Linked DNA regions of Ovis aries. The protein of the gene in region 3 purifies or fractionates together with the protein of the main gene of each other region. This does not show direct contact. Links are inferred from orthologs where the notes say so. Each region holds a gene or a part of one and is shown on either strand. Other genes may lie near its edges.

Region 1 (4,291 bases), on a different chromosome or scaffold from region 3:
GGCCGGGTTCAATCCCCAGTTGGGAAAGCCACATGGTGCATGGCCAAACACAAAGAAACAAACAGGTAAGGAAGCAAACAGTCACAGATTCCAGCAGCTGAGATGGATGGGCACAGGCTGAGGCTTGGAGGAGCTGGGAAGTGCCAAAGGGACTGGTCATCAAAGCCAGGCCGCTTACCCAGGATACTACCCTTCCATTGAAACAGGGAAGGCGAGCATTGTCATCTGAAATCTCTTCCTTCACCACCCTGCCAAGAGATAAGATAAAGGTCAGTGAAACTGGAACGGCTTTCCCCACTCCCACCTGCATTTGAAGTTTCTCCCAATCTTCATCCAGCTCAAGGATGTTGATTTCCTCCCACCATGGCAAATCCTCTTCTCTGACATTGAGACACTTCACTCTTACACCCAAGAAATCACCAAACTGAATTCCCTTTCCTTATTTCTCCTTCTTTCCCCAGTTCATCCTTGGGCTCAGCGTTGTTCCAGAGCTTTCCAAGAGTCTGATTGAAACCTCTCAGCCCAATTTCAAAGGCCTTCCCCTAAGGCTGCCCTAGCTGCCCCCAATATCTAACCTTAGAAGCCTCACAGGCAGCCACCCCATTCCACACACAATTGCCCCACAAAGGCTTTGTGCTCCTTGTCTACGTCTCTAATCTTATGCTTTCCTTAGTTTTCTCTAACTCACTTTCAGATGGATGTTCAAATGTACTGTCATCTAGTAACAACACCCATTAGATCAAAGAATGGTACTTAGTAGACTGAGCTCCTAAGGAGTGGTGAAGTCCAGATCCCCGTTCCTCCGTGCTTCACCTGGCACAAACTCTGCATTAAGCAATTTGCTCCTCCTGACAGACCCCAAAGCCCAGCCGTGAGGGCGATCTCACCCATGGGTTCCTTCAATGGACCGAACTTGCTCCTTCTTTGCAACCACCAGACGGAATCATCAGTGCTAATTTTGTTCAACACCAAGTTCAACCCCAAGTCCCTGACCACACAGCAAAGTACCTGATGCTGCCTAAGCACTAACAAACACCTGTTGGCTAAACTGATAAACATACTGATCATGAGACATTCTGCCCTGAACACTCTCACACACATTCACCCCCAAAATTAGGACCGCCTGTCTAATTAACCCTTTAGACTAATATGATTCTAGGACCCTGGATATATGTCAACTCAATCCCATCTATTATTAACGTGATGACACAGCCCAGCGACTACCAATCTATCTCAGCCTAACACTTGTATTCTTCACAGCATAATCCAATCTCAACACAGTCCAGCCTGCCAAGTGATTTAGTTCAAGAAGTAGACTCCATGCTAATAAACACAACGACCATTTACCAAGAACATACATACCATGCACTTGTACTAAGCATTTCACTCTGGTTAACTGTTTCACAGACGAAATCAATGAACAAAGTTAAATGCCCCAGGTTATACAGTGCTGACAAACACAAGAACCTTGAATTTCAATACAAGGTAACTCCCAAGACAGTACCACCATCCCTACCTCCAGGTCTTTCTAGATAAAGTCCAGTCTGTTCAGCTTTCCTAGAATCCAAGCTATCCCAGCCTAAGGCAGCCTCCCTTCAAGAGCTGCGATTGAGGACAAACAGTACAGTCCTAAAGGTATAAAACACAAAAAGGGCTACCCTGAATTATTTAAGGTTCCAGACTATCCCAAATTATCCAGGATAGCCCAAAACTATTCTAGTATAAGCTAGAATGTCCCCTCAAGCAGCTGTCTACACCAATATAGACTAGAATATCCCAATACAGCTGTCTGTACTAACACAGACATGGTCAGCCCTGTGTACCCCTATATTGAGTATCCCCAAAAAAACTAGACCCCCAAAGAAACAAAGATCAACAGAACCCAGTGCAGACCATAATAGCAGCCCAATACAGCACACTGCCTTAGTACAGACTAGAATATCCACCAAACAATCCTGTCTGACTTAGTATCACAGAGAACATCCCAAATTGGCCCAGTATAGCCCAGTTGACATCAGCAGGTTTCCCAATATCCCTCCACAACCTGTGTGGCACAGGACTGCTCACAATGTAGTTACCAGAGGATACATCAACCTACCTCATCGCTGTCCAGAACACCCGAAAATAAATCAGTGTACTACTCCAGTATAGCCTAATCTTCTCTAATCTGGTTTAGCAGTGCCCAGTCTGTCCTCCTACAGCTCCGTGCGCCTCAATCTATCCAAGCGTAACGTTGTCCGTCCTGGGATAATCAATCTACACCAGCACAGTAAAATCCGCACCACTAGTGCCCAGAAAATCACAGCATGTCCCAAGGTAGCCCGATGCCCCTGAATATCACCCACTCCACAAAAGCACAGCCCCCATCCATCCTGTTCTAGGCCTCGCGCTCACCCGAAATCCTGATCCATAGACTTGAAAAAGTACTTGGCGCCCGCGGGCCGCTGCAGGACGCTCTTGAAATCGCCGAGGGTGATGCGCTCGGCGGGGACGGGGATCTTCACCAGGTAGGGAGTCTCTTCTTCATCCAGGTGGTAAATCACCTTCGTCTCCCCAACACCACCGCCCCCCGCGCCGCTGCCCGCCATGGTCTCGCCCGCGCGCTCCCGGGCTCCGCCGCCCACCCAAAGGGGCTGTTCGCCCCCGCCGCGCCTGCGCAGTCCCGCGAACCGACGCACGAGCACCAGGACCGACACAGCGCCAGAGAGGTGTGAAAGGGAGGAAGGCGGGGGTCAGCAGGGTGGCGGCGGCGAAAAAGGGGGTCGAGCCGTGGAGCGCTTCCCAAAGCCGCGGGCTCCGCCGCCGCCGCCGCCACCGCTTTCGCGAGTGCCCTCCAAGCGCCCCGCCCACCTCTCCCCACGTCACGTGATCAGAACCGACTCCACCCCCTTTTCGAAACGCCTCCACCACGTGATCATCTCGTGGTCACGTGACCTCTCGGCTCCGCCTAGTACCCCCGCCACATGATTGCTGCTTTCAGCAACGGTCTCCCAACCTTCTGCGGCTCCTCCTCCTTGTGTGTCCGCACCCGCGTCCTCCGACTACCCTGACCAGGCTGGGCTTTGCCCTCAGGGGGCAAGCAAGCAATGCCTGCACGCTTTATCTGCTCCGGCAGGGAGCTCCACGCAACTTTCATGCGTTGGAGCGCGCGTGTGGGAGGTGTAGGTGGGAATTGGGGGAGGGGGATGGTCCTTGACTGGGGATGAGGCGGGGCAAAGCCAATTGAATTGAGGTCATAGGATTGGTGGGAAAGGCGCAGTTAGATCATTTTCAGTAGAGGTGGGTTTCAGCCCCACCTCCAGCCAGCTTTTCCAAAGCCTCCCTCCCCAGCACGACAGTCAGTGAGGGCTATAAACACAGAAGAGCCCACTCTGCTTTATTTACAACACGCAGGCTGTCTGTACAAACAGCTGGCCAGAATTATTAAAAACAAAAGAGGTGAGGAATCGTCACCTTTCTGTTTTCCTTCCTCCCTTGGCCAAGCTCTGGTTGGCACTCCACCTCTGAGCTGCCACGCTCAAAAGGGGAAGTCCTAAATTAAAAATACAACCGGTGTAGAATAAATGGGGAGTGAGATAGAAGATGAGGGAGGGGAGTGCTATATTTACACTAGAGTTTTATAGACAACTGTCCCACTCCATCCCAGTTCTAACCCTGGCCCAGAAACTGAGCAGTGGCACGGACAGTTTAAGTGTCTAGGGACCCAGAGAGCCTCCCACCCGCAACTGCAATGGGTCCAAGTTCAAGTCCACAAGGTGGGAAGGAAAGGTAGGGTAGGAAAACCACTCATTTCCAAACCAGTCTCCCCTGGGAATTTCTGCCTCGAAGTGGGACAACATCCCAGCTTCAGGGAACATGTTGACCCTGAGGCTCAGTTCCGAAGTCACGTTTCCATTTGAAGTTCCAGCCTGGAGATGGCATGTGTCAAGGTTCTCCAGATTTCGGAGGCCCCCCTAATCGCCGGGCCTCTGGCCGCAGTTCCTTGCATTTCTGGCAGTAAAAGAAGTCAGGGACATTGGTCTTCTTAATCTTAGCACAAGAGAGGTGGATCCACGTCCCACACAGGCTGCACTCAATCATGGGCCGGCCTGCAAAGGGCTTCCGGCAGTAACACGTGATCAGATCCCATGAATCATCACCTGGAAAAAAGAAGGTATGTTTGGTGTTCTGAGTTCTTGGAGCCACACTACCCCAAGACCCATCAACCCAGTTGCCCCTGGGCAGCCCCAAATTTCTCACCTGATTCTACCATGATGTCCTCATCCATGACCCGCATCTCGCCTTCACTGGA
Region 2 (4,183 bases), on a different chromosome or scaffold from region 3:
GGGTAAAAGAAAAATCAGGCAGATAGAAACAAAAACAAAGGAACATACATACACACACACCCATATATACACAAAAGAAATCAAAACAGACCAAGGAAAACAAAACCCAAGAGAGTCCAATAAAGTCAGGTCAGTTCTTTTGACCTGATGAACAAAAGAAACAAAAATTAAATCAATCAGTTAAAAACAAAACTAACTAAAACAGAAAACAAAACCAAAGCAGAGTGCCAACTGAACAATAAAGCAAAGAAAACAAAACAAACAAAAATGGTGGGGGTAAAAGAGACAAAAGAGAAATGCAAAGTTAAACAGAAGTATGTAAAAAAGATCCACATATATTAAAGAAAAACAACAACAACAAAAAGAACCCCCAGAAAACAACAACAACAAAAAACAAGCCAAAAAAGCACAGAACAGCAGAAAGCTAAACAGAAATAGACTGTATAAAAGAAAAAGTAAGATTTAAAAGAATCTCAAAAACCTAAATAGAAATAATAATAGTAATAAAAATAAAAACTACAACAGAGAAAAAAGAGAGAGAGAGAAAAAAAAAGGAAAAAAAACCAGAACCCACAACAGAAGGAATCAAAACATAAGAATAATAATAAATATTTTCTCAGGGATCAGCTGTCAGCATCCTTTCCCTTCACTGTGAGCCACAGCCCATCTCCACTTCCCTAGGAGGCCCTCCAGTGCTGGGGAAAGCAGGTCGACCTGCTGTGAGGACAGACTCTGATCTGGCCCTGCTACTGGGTATGCTTGTCTCCAGTGTCTGCAGCTGCCAGAGCTAGAGGGTTTTCTTTTCAGGGAACATTCTTTGTCTTCATATATTCCACAGACACAGGGTTTACCTAGTTGATTGTATGGATTTAATCTGCAGCTTGTGCAGCTGATGAAAAGGGTTTTAATCTTTTTCCTTAGGCACTCTGCCCCTGGAGCTCAATTGTGGTTTTATCCCCACATCTACCTGAGGGCCATCCATAAGAGTCTACTCCTAAGGCTGCCCTGGAGGACTCGGGTCCCCCCGAGTGATGACCAGGAGTGGAGATGGCATGGCTGCTTGGATCGGGGAGACTCCCAGAGCACCAGGCGCCATGGGCTCAAGGGATACGACTCTAATAGTCTTTTCTAGCTTCTGGCAGCTGGTGTTTGAAGGGCTGCCCTCTCTGGGATCCTTCTCTACTGCTCAGGGGCCAGTGCTGGTAACGTGGGGAGAGAGAGGCTACATAGACGGCTCCACCCCCTGCATGTAACTTACCAGTAGCGCCCTGCTTCCGGAGCCGCCCTGTTTCCCTTCAAAGGCTGTTTCCCTTAAATCCTGCTGCAGATTTCCTCCTTTCCTTCAGGTCATCTCCTCGGAATCAGTAGCAGTCCTCGCCCTGGGTTTGCTCTCCAGTCTACATGCTCCAGCTCCCAGCTGCCATGCGCCATCGGTGGACGTGCATCCTGGGACAGGTTATGTAGGGCCGCGGCTCGGATTGTCTGTGTGGTTTTCACTCTATTCGGACTGTCATGGATCAGCTGCTTCACCCTCCGACAGCCCCAAATGCTTCCCTTTCTGTCCCAACTGATTCCTCCGGATGTGGGAATCTCTCCCCTGCTTCAGCTCCCCCAGCGCTTTCTCTCCTCTTCCTTCTCCTCTCTTTCTTTTGTCCTACCCAGATATGCGAGTATCCATAAAATCCTTTCCAGTGGTCAGGGACTCCTGCTAGTGTTCAGGCCGTGTTCTGTGAGAACTGTTGCATCTATAGATGTATTCTTGATACATCCATGGAGAGAGATGTACTCCATGTCCACCCACTCCTCCACCTTCTTGAGTCCCTTCTGTTTCTTCCTTTTTTACTGCTGACTACTGTTTCATTTTATAGATACACTCCCATGGTTTATCCATTTGCCTTTTGGTGAGTATTTAAGTTATTCCTAGCTTTGGATTATTATTAGAGGAGCTGCTATAAAAATTAATCTGCAAGTCTTTGTATATATATTATATATTATTTCTCTTGAGTAAGTGCTTAGGAGGGCTTTTGTTTTATTATATGCTAAGTGCAGCCATGAAATTAAAAGACGCTTACTCCTTGGAAGGAAAGTTATGACCAACCTAGACAGCATATTCAAAAGCACAGACATTACTTTGCCAACAAAGGTCTGTCTAGTCAAGGCTATGGTTTTTCCAGTGGTCAAGTATGGATGTGAGAGAGTTGGACTGTGAAGAAAGCGAAGCACCAAAGAATTGATGCTTTTGAACTGTGGTGTTGGAGAAGACTCTTGAGAGTCCCTTGGACTGCAAGAAGATCCAACCAGTCCATTCTAAAGGAGATCAGTCCTGGGTGTTCTTTGGAAGGAATGATGCTAAAGCTGAAACTCCAGTACTTTGGCCACCTCATGTGAAGAGTTGACTCATTGGAAAAGAGTCTGATGCTAGAAGGGATTGAGGGCAGGAGGAGAAGGGGACAAGAGAGGATGAGATGGCTGGATGGCATCACCAACTCAATGGACATGAGTTTGAGTGAACTCCGGGAGTTGGTGATGGACAGGGAGGCCTGGCGGGCTGCAGTTCTTAGGGTCGCAAAGAATCAGACATGACTGAGCAACTGAACTGAACTGAACTGAAGTGTACTTTATAACAAATAGCCAAACTATTTTCCAAGTTTTATTGTGCTACATTTCTGCCAGTAATGTATGTTGTAGTTATTTCACATTCTCACTGATTCTTCGTATTGTCAACTGTTTGGATTTTAGCCATTCCTGTAGGCTTTTAATTTTCATTTCCCTGATAACTAATGATATTGAATAGTTTCTCATGCACTTATTGGCCGTTGCTTATCTTATTTTGTGAGGTAGCTGGGCAAAGTTTTTGCCCATTTAAAAAGTGAGTCATTAGTTTTATTATTCAGAGTAAGAATTCTTCATATATTCAGGCTTTATGTCCTTTGATGATATATATTGAAGCCCTAATCTATGGTTGCCCTTTCATTTCTTTAAATAAAACAAAACAAAACATTTATTTATTTATTTGGCTGCTCCAGGCCTTAGTTGTGGCACCCAGGATCTTTAGTTGTAGCATGCAAACTTTTAGTTTTGGTGTTTGGGGTCTTGTTGCCCGATCAGGGATCCAGATCCACACTCCTCAGTGGAAGTACAGAGTCTTAACCACTGGGCTGCCGGGGAAGTCCTATTTTTATTTTTTTTTAATGCGGATATTTTGAAGGAAAGATTAAAATTTTTGATTTGTAAATGTTTTCTGCTATGAGTTGTGCTTGTTTGTGCTCTAAGAAATCTCTGCCTACCCCAAAGTTTCAAAGATTTTTCTACTCTGTTTTCTTCTAAGAATGTTATAGTATACAGCAATGAAAATCAATGAACTGTACTGACATACTACACAGTAAATCTCAATGAACATAATATTGAGCATAAAAAGAAAGGCACAGATGAATATGGTTTGTTTTCATCCATATAGAGTGCAAAAATAGTAAAAACTAAGCTGTATTGTTTAGAGATGCATAGGTAAATGGTAAAACTTATAAAGTCAAGAAAATTCTTATCTCCAAATTTGAGATAGTGGTTATCTCTTAGGGGAGAACGTGGGTTATGATAAAGGATGGGCACACAGAGGCCTCTGAAATGATCCTATTTTGTGCCTTTGGGTGGCAGTTACATGGATGTTTGATTTACCATTCTTTATTAATATATGTATTTATGTTTAGTGCACATTTTTGAATTTGTTTGCATTTCACAATCTTCAAACATTCAAGGAGCCTTAACTAGATTATTATTCTTAACTCTGGGATTAAAAAAAAAGAAAAGAAAACCTTAATAGAAGGGTTGGAAAATAGAAAAAGTATCCCCCAAAATAGAGATGAAAGACAAATAAAAAAGGAGAAAATAGGACAAAAAGTACAGAGCAAGTTCAGGAGGGGCAATGTAAAAAAGAAGGAAAGAATGAAAGGAAGGAAGGAAAGTAAAAGAAACAGAGAAAAATGGATAGGAGAGATCACCAGCTAAATACTTAAAGTCTCCTAGAACTTAAGGATATATTTCCAGATTGAAGACTCTTGAGTGTGAAGCACAGTGAAGTCAAATAGTGGAGGTACAGCATGTACTGTGAAATTTCAGAATACCTAAGAATAATGAAAAGATGCTACATACTTTTTATACTAGTCATAGTCCTCCAGAAAAATAGGAC
Region 3 (4,079 bases):
CTAGTGTCCACAGGAGTCATCACTAATCAATCATAACTCACTTTCCCAGAGAACCCTTATGATTAAAATCCTTCTCAACACAGGGCTTCTGGCAGCTACTTCAAGTGAAAGTTGGCCCATAAATCAAAATGTATCTGCTACTGTGGACTAGATAATCTCTACAATCTCTTCCAACTCTTTAATATGTATTATTTATTTATTTGGCTATGCTGGGTCTCAGATGTGGTATGTAGAATCTTTAGTTGCAGTATGTGGAATCCAGTTCTCAGAACTGGGATCGAACACACAACCCTTGCATTAGGAGCATAGAGTCTTGGCCACTGGACCACCAGGGGAGTCCCCCAACTCTAAAATTCTAAAACCAAGTTTCTGAGGGTGGGAGAAAAAACACTTCCCAAAAAGCTCATAAACCAATAGCATTGATAGCCATAAATTTCAGTCTAATCTCTAAATTCTACAAATTGTACCTGATCAAGGATGCTAACAATAAATTCTGATACCATTAACATATATAACTGTGCAATACTATTCTGATTTGCTAATGGGTTCTTTTGACAGAAAAGGAACCTTTTACCCAGAATGGCCCTAAAGAAATCCTCATACAAAAATAGGACAATATTGCACTAGTAAAGAACTAAATTTAATCCCTTGATCATGCCCACGGCCTCTCAATGAGGACAAGCCTTTCACTTCTCACCTAAACCACTGCAACAGCCATTCTTCCGTCCTTTCACTCATGCCACAAAGCAATCTTCCCAAAGCAAACATGTACTCAATATCATTTTCCTGTTAAAAAATCTGTATCTAAAAATAAATAAATAAATAAATAATAAAAAATCTGTATCTATTGCTAACAACATAAAACAAGTTTTTTTCTTGCCTCACATCCATAATGCTCTCCTTCCCCATCCCACTCCCTGCTCCCTTTTATCTTCCACAATCCTGTGTTTACTAACAGTACTGAGGTGTTTCCTCTGCCCTGTCCTTCCCTTTCTCCATTACAATAACACTTCAGCTAAGACCCAACTTCAGCTTGAAGCAGATTCTTCCTCCTCAAATCAGACACAACTGATTACCTCCTCTTCCATCTCAAAGCTTTTGGTTTATTCAAAGTATTGTCTCAAAGGTTTCCAAAACCATCAAAATTGCCTGAGGCAAGTTTTAATCCTCAAGGCCGACCCAAACCTATTAAATCAATCTCGGGAAATAAGGCTCTGAAATTTCTACTTTTAAAAAAGCTGCCCTGATTATTTTAATGACCAAATTTGGGGGCTACTGGTTTGTCTCTTCCAGTTGGTGTAAAGACGTTTCTTTAAGGAATGGAAAAATGATTTACTCTAGAATACACTGAGGAATTATCCTGCACTTGTTTATTTCATATCCTTGTTGACTTGACTCATATGCTGAAGATGAAGGAATTCCTTTCGGACTCACACCCAAAAAACTTATATCCACTGTTGAAAACAGCAGGTGAATTTCCACCTTCATTTCTAAATCTTAAAAATGAAGTAACTGTAACCTGAGTAAACCTATGAATACATGATTAAGACTCTCACCAGACCTGCTCTGAGAACTTTATTTCGGCAGAGAAACAACTCTCTAGCCCATTTTGAGGGTGGAAATACACTGCCTCTAGTACTTCCCTACGATCTAATTATATTAGGAATACATGCAAGACTCAAACTAAGTACAGTGATAGATGGATGGCTCAAGTGCCTCGTTAATTTTCAGAGAAAAATTCCCTGAAATGTCTCTTCCTTCCCCACCCCTCACTCCCAAAAACTACACTGAAGCTGAATAACAGCGGAAAATCTAACAAGATACAAACATTAGCAAGAAAACAAGGTGAGTTGTTACTGGGGAATCGTGGATTTCGGGTAGTTTGCAAATCCACCAGGTTACATCGCTAACTTGAGGCCCAGCGTCTACCTGGGGCGCAGAGATCCTGTGTTTCGCTCTACGTCGCGGCCCGGAGCAAAGTCTAAGAACTTGAGTTCCCCACTTAGTCCCCACCAAGTCCTGTCCTCATCACGACTACTTTTTCCTTCTCTCCGCTAAAGAAAAGGGCACTTTCAGGAGGAAGGGCAGTGACAGCTCCACGTCTGCAAAACTCGGCGCCGGCGGGGCCGCTGCGGCGGCGGCGGGCGCCGACGACGACGCCGGGGCCGGGACCACCACGCTGGGGGACAATAGACGGAGGGGAATGGAAGAGAGAAGAGAGGCAGCCGCTGTACTTGGCCCCTCTCGCTGGTGCGAGCTCCAAAAAGTCTCGGGAAGGGCAGCGGGTGGCAGGTGGGCCCGGCCGCCGCCCCTCGCAGGGCCACGTCGCCCGCCCCGGCCGCTGCCGCGGGGCCCCTCGCGTAGGCCGGGCCGCAGGAGCAGAGCCCCCGGGCGGGGCTGACGGGCTCTGGGCTGGACCCCGGGGGCGCCCGCTGGGGCCCAGTTCTCTCAGAACTTGGCGCCCGCGAGGAGAGGGGCTCCGACCGTCTGAGCCCAACAGGGGCCGCTCGGGGCTTCCAGATGACCCATCCCCGCCACCCCTCCGCCCGGCCCCTGCCACTAGCCCGAGCTCCCCGCGCCCACCACGGGCACCGGCTCTGAGGGAAGAGGAAGCAGCCGCGGCTCGGGTCCCGGCTGACGCGCCGCACTCCTCTACCTCTCGCCCTCCTCCGACGTATTCATCCAGGACCCTCCCTCTCCCCAAAATTGCCTCCAGTCCGCCCGCGGGTTTTTACCGGGACACGGGGCGGCGGCTACTCTTCAGTCCCTCGACTAAGATGGCAGCCGGTCCCGATTCCGGACCACAGCTACTAGAACGAGTTGGCGGCCAACGCGCAGGCGCCTCCAGCTCCGGAGCTATCAGGACTACAAGCCCTAGAAGTCCTTGCGCACTAACCAGCTGCGGGCAGGAAGACCTAGCGGAGGCTGGTGAGCGCAGCTAAATCCGAGCTTGTATTTAGCTAGGTGGGAGGGACTCTTGGATTACTCCCGGTCAGTACAGTTGCTCAGTCGTGTCCGACTCCTTGCGACCTCAGGAATTGCAGCACGCCAGGCCTCGCTGTCCATCACCAACCCCCGGAGTTCACTCAAACTCATGTCCATCGAGTCGGTGATGTCATCCAGTCATCTCCTCCTCTGTCGTCCCCTTCTCCTCCTGTCCTCAATCCCTCCCAGCATCAGTCTTTTTTTCTTAATTTTTTTTTAATTTAAATTTATTTACTTTAATTGGAGGCTAATTACTTTACAATATTGTATTGGTTCTGCCACACATCAACATGAATCCGCCACGGGCGTACACGTGTTCCCCATCCTGAACCCCCCTCCCCCCTCCCCCCTCCCTCCCCTTCGCATGAGGTGGCCAAAGTATTGGAGTTTCAGCTTCAGCATCAGTCCTTCCAATGAACACCCAGGACTGATCTCCTTTAGAATGGACTGGTTGGATCCTCTTGCAGTCCAAGGGACTCTCAAGAGTCTTCTCCAACACCACAGTTCAAAAGCATCACTTCTTCGGTGCTCAGCTTTCTTCACAGTCCAACTCTCACATCCATACATGACCACTGGAAAAACCATAGCCTTGACTAGACAGACCTTTGTTGGCGAAGTAATGTCTCTGCTTTTGAATATGCTATCTAGATTGGTCACAACTTTCCTTCCAAGGAGAAAGCGTCTTTTAATTTCATGGCTGCAATCACCATCTGCAGTGATTTTGGAGCCCAAAAAAATAAAGTCTGACACTGTTTCCACTGTTTCCCATCTATTTCCCATGAAGTGATGGGACTGGATGCCATGATCTTCGTTTTCTGAATGTTGAGCTTTAGGCCAACTTTTTCACTCTCTTCTTTCACTTTCACCAAGAGGCTTTTTAGTTCCTCTTCACTTTCTGCCATAAGTGTGGTGTCATCTGCATATCTGAGGTTATTGATATTTCTTCTGGCAATCTTGATTCCAGCTTGTGCTTCTTCCAGCCCAGCATTTATCATGATATACTCTGCATAGAAATTAAATAAGCAGGGTGACAGTATACAGCCTTGATGTACTCCTTTTCCAATTTGGAACCAGTCTGTTGTTCCATGTCCAGT
Region 4 (4,115 bases), on a different chromosome or scaffold from region 3:
TTTACATAAAGAAGAGTTTAAAAAAAAATGCCTCTCACACACATAAATTCAAAAGGTATGCTACTCCTGAAACTCTTGTCCTGCAACAGAGTTATGGGCCTTAAGGCCATTCTCAAATCCTATTCCGTTGTTCCGGACATGCAGTATCTGTTGGTTCTGTTGTCACTGCAAATTCTGAAGACAACCTCAGAAACAGGCCACAAAAAATAACAGTTGCAAATTTCATATAGAGTTGGGGGGCACAGGTGGAAAAAGGACCCTATAGAAGAGACTTAGTTCCAAATCACTGATTCTTTCCCTGCTCTGGTTTGCTGGGTCCTGGGGACAAGAACATGCCCAGCCAGCAGGCCCAAACTAGTAGCCTTTACCATCTGATGCACACGTGTGTGCTAAGTTGCTTCAGTCATGTCCGACTCTTTGTAACCCTATGGTCTGTGGCCCACCAGGTTCCTTTGTCCATGATATTCTCCAGGCAAGAATACTGGAGTGGTTAGTTCATCAAATCTAACCATGGCTCAACTGACATCTGAAATGCATTTACCTCTGATATAATTCACAGGAGTACACTGATTTAGGGGATTAATTTTAGGAGAGAAAAAATAGTTTTCAGTAATCCTGAACTAGTTATCTTTGACAAGACAAGAGATTATGATTTTACAAAGAGCAAATCCCTAAAATGTATGCAAGAGTCACTTCTGGCCCAGGGTATTTAGAGAAATTAAATGCACCCATCATTTGGCTGAATTTAGGCTGACAAGTGGACTAAGGAGTAAGACAGAGCCAACCCCTACCTACCCTGTTGAGAATATTCCTCCTCGTGAAGTTTTAAAGAACTCCCAGAAGCCTGTTGGAGAGCCCAAGGGCAGGGCTAGAAGTGGGGATTTCTTTTATATGTTGCACAGATTGTGAATTCCACCCACCATAGCACAGGCCGTACCAGCATCAAAATAAGGAGAACAAACTGGCATCAGTTTAAGCATAAAAACCAAGCCAGGCTCTACATACCTAATTTTCTTACAGTTCTTATTCAAACAATTACTTTGGGTTCAATTCGTTCTCCCTATAATCTTAAAAGTCTTTGGTTCCCATGTGGCTCCTTGATAAAGAATCCACCTGCTAATGCAGAATGCAGGAGACCCTGATTGGATCCTTGGGTGGGGAATATTCCCTGGAGGAGGAAATGGCAACCCACTCCAGTATTCTTGCCTAGGAAATCCCAAGGACAGAGGAACCTAGTGGGCTATAGTCCATGGGGCTGCAAAGAGGTTGACAGGAGTGAGCACCAACCACCGCCATATTCTTAAATCTGGTCTTGAAAGTGGGTTTGTGTGGACTTGCAAGGACCACCCAATGTTTTTAGGTAGCCTACATTTATTACAGATCTCAGTAAGAACTATAGGCATTGCCAGGCTTTTAGATTTAATTTAGAGAAAGATTGTTTGCTTTACATATTCATCTTCCACAATCACTTCACGAAGATCTGTTTCCAAGTCTCTCAGTCCCCAACAAACCTCAAGACACTGGTTGCCTTGGAAGTTGTGAACTCTTTTGGAGGCAGAGATGCTCCAGGGCAGCAGACCTTTTGCCCCGCATCAGCCTTCTCTGTTGGAGGCGCCAGTCCGGTAGGGCCAGTGGCAGAGCCGGGTAGACATCTCCAAGCTCTCCACATGATGGCTTCCTGTTCTCAAGAATTAAATTCTGCCTAGCAGTTTGTGTGGCTCCAGGAACCCAGTGCGGGCCTAGGGCCCTCCTTTAACGACCAAGTACACGGCGAGTTAACACACTGTTATTACCTCTTGAGCTCGTCCCCAAACACAGTGGAGTTACTTTACACCAGACACTTCATGTTTCCGTTTGCCTCAGTGCAGAATAAAATAAGTGACATGCCCCAACCTGTCACTTCATCCATCCCACAAATACCCCTGCCGTGTGCCTGGTACTGCTGATAAACTGGTGAACAAAATAGATCGAGAGCCTTGCGGACTCTGTTAGCGAAATAAACACTCAATGGCTGAAAGAAGAAGTTTACTCATTTTCTTCCCGCCTTTTTTTTTTTTTTTTTGCCACCGACCCCCATTCTTCTAGTCTCGCCAGGGGCTGGAAATCAAGTTTATCCCATTAGTTTGACAGGAATAACAAAACCCTTTAGCCTACATGGAATAGACACCGTCCAGGTGCAACCCAATTCACCATGGACCTCCACCCTCTCAACGGCCCAAAAACTTCGACCGGTCTGAGAGGTTCTCCTCCCCAAGTGCAGCCCTAGGACGCTCAATCACGAGGCAGAGGAGGGAACCGGCCCTAGATCCCTGCTCCCGCGGTGAGCGGGGCGCGCGCGCGCGGCACTCACCGAGGAGCCGGCCCAGAACGGGCACGAGTTCTTCACCTGCGGGGAGCTGCTCAGCGACAGTGCCCCAAAGCTGAGTGCCACCATGCAGCAGCCCAGGATCAGCTGCAGCAGACCGAGCGACAACAGCAGGCGAGCGGGCAGCAGCGCGGAGCCCGGAGCCCCGGCGGCGGCAGCGGCCCGGCGGGAAGAGAGTGCAGGCGGCGCGGCCAGCACCCCGGCGGCGGTAGCCCCGCAGCGAGGCCGCGCCGGGGGCTGCAGCGCAGCCCGGGGCCAGCGCGGCCGTAGTGGGGGCAGCGGCGGCTCCTGGGCGGCGGCGGCCGCGGCGCCCGGGCCCCCGGCCTGCGGCCCGCCGGAGAGCCCGGCCACCGGGCAGCAGGAGCCCGGGAGCACCACAGGCAGGGACATGGACAAACGGGGAAGGAGCGGCCGGTGGCAGCGGGGAGCGGGCGCGGAGCTGAGCCGCCGGCGCCAGGCTCTGAGCACGCGGGCGGGCTCGGACGCGGAGGGGGCGGGAAGAAAATGCGCACGGCCCAACCACTTGCTGCCGCAGCCGCCGCCCCGGCTCCCGCCGGCCGCACCCACCTGCCAGCCGGCGGGTCGGCCTCCGGCCTCCCGGGCGCGCCCCACTCCCACACCCCGCCCCCGACACCACGCACGCCCTGAGGTCCCGCCGCGCAGCGCCTGCACCCTTTGGGGCCCCGCCAAACCGGCGCTCTCTCCCGGGGCTCCAGAAGAGGTGCCCCAGTTTTAAAACAGGTTCCCTCGGGCTAGGAGGGAACTGCGGACTGGGCGCGGAGGTACCGACAGCCGCCAAGCTGGGGCGCAACAGGAGCGCCGCAGGCGCGCTGGGGCCCCTCGCCCCTTTCCGGTCCAGCCGCGAGCGCGACTCTGGCGACCTTTCATACGAAGGGAGCCCGGCTTTAAACTTTTCCCCGGCCTAGGGGAAGGATGACAGGAAGAGAGCTGTGGGTGACTTGGGAAAAGTCTAAGCCTCAGGGTTTCGGGAAAGGACGACGCAGAGCAAAGTCACCGTTCGCGTGGGGCTTCCCGGCGCTGACTGCTCTGCAGCCCCTCCGCCTGGGAAGTTGGGAGGTGGGGAATGAGGGGTATGGGTGCTTTCCTGGCACCAGCGTAGGAGTGGGCAGGAGGCCAAAGTTTCCTTGGAAGTATCCGGCATCCAGAAAGAGAACCAACGGCCTGGAGCGCTGGCAAGGGTTACATACACTCTGTGGCCGTCTCACGCTGACTCCTGAGCTGTGTTAGGCATCATCTGGTAGAACACAGAATCCCAGACTTTCAGAGAAACGGCCTCATAAAATTCTAATCTGTTTTTGGTAATTTATAAAATATATTTAGAACTTAAAAAGAAATGATTTGCCTTTGTAAAATTTCATTTCCTAATGGTAGGAATTCTTATGTATTGAAAGTGTTCTTATACATAAAATGATTATGATAGAATTTTTTCAGGTTAAGAACCAGAGCACTGTCACTCTGCAGAAAGTCAGTCTCAGTATTAGGTGAGTAATAAGTAAGGGGAGGGTATTTTATATCCTCCTGCCCACTAAACCAAAGGAAACATGTATCTGTTTTTATGCTCTGCTTACAAAGGCTGTATTTATTTCGTTCATTACTTACTGTAACTCACAATGTAATGCACTGCCAATGTGCATGTGGGTCTACATGTACACTTTTTGAATTATTAAAGCACCTGTGATTCATAGTCTCAAGGACTTCTTTTACAAACTCCTCTTGGAAATAAACGTCA

Evidence for each region. The genes of interacting proteins can lie anywhere in the genome.
Region 1: the proteins of ITCH (region 3) and DVL2 purify together in Homo sapiens (affinity purification with western blotting; 4 studies listed by BioGRID and IntAct, with this or other methods). This does not show direct contact. The link is inferred for Ovis aries from reciprocal best matches to the Homo sapiens genes ITCH and DVL2.
Region 2: the proteins of ITCH (region 3) and CFLAR purify together in Homo sapiens (affinity purification with western blotting; 8 studies listed by BioGRID). This does not show direct contact. The link is inferred for Ovis aries from reciprocal best matches to the Homo sapiens genes ITCH and CFLAR.
Region 4: the proteins of ITCH (region 3) and ENTREP1 purify together in Homo sapiens (co-immunoprecipitation; 3 studies listed by BioGRID and IntAct, counting the BioPlex papers as one, with this or other methods). This does not show direct contact. The link is inferred for Ovis aries from reciprocal best matches to the Homo sapiens genes ITCH and ENTREP1.

What each region holds. Positions count from the first base shown.
Region 1 is NC_056064.1:26,835,716-26,840,006, forward strand, and holds the start of DVL2 (segment polarity protein dishevelled homolog DVL-2), read right to left. Parts: upstream 2,840-4,291; 5' UTR 2,589-2,839; coding exon 2,395-2,588; intron 249-2,394; coding exon 179-248; intron 1-178. Other genes in the region: PHF23 (PHD finger protein 23), read right to left, coding at 3,925-4,139, 4,240-4,291.
Region 2 is NC_056055.1:203,444,258-203,448,440, forward strand, and holds the start of CFLAR (CASP8 and FADD-like apoptosis regulator), read left to right. Parts: upstream 1-1,344; 5' UTR 1,345-1,455; intron 1,456-4,183. UniProt on the Homo sapiens protein: Apoptosis regulator protein which may function as a crucial link between cell survival and cell death pathways in mammalian cells. Acts as an inhibitor of TNFRSF6 mediated apoptosis.
Region 3 is NC_056066.1:63,780,829-63,784,907, reverse strand, and holds the start of ITCH (E3 ubiquitin-protein ligase Itchy homolog), read right to left. Parts: upstream 2,813-4,079; 5' UTR 2,584-2,812; exon of another isoform or gene 1-2,583. UniProt on the Homo sapiens protein: Acts as an Acts as an E3 ubiquitin-protein ligase which accepts ubiquitin from an E2 ubiquitin-conjugating enzyme in the form of a thioester and then directly transfers the ubiquitin to targeted substrates.
Region 4 is NC_056055.1:67,369,105-67,373,219, forward strand, and holds the start of ENTREP1 (endosomal transmembrane epsin interactor 1), read right to left. Parts: upstream 2,840-4,115; 5' UTR 2,756-2,839; coding exon 2,351-2,755; intron 1-2,350. UniProt on the Homo sapiens protein: Functions as an activator of the E3 ubiquitin protein ligase ITCH in the ubiquitination of the CXCL12-activated CXCR4 receptor. Thereby, triggers CXCR4 endocytosis and desensitization, negatively regulating the CXCL12/CXCR4 signaling pathway.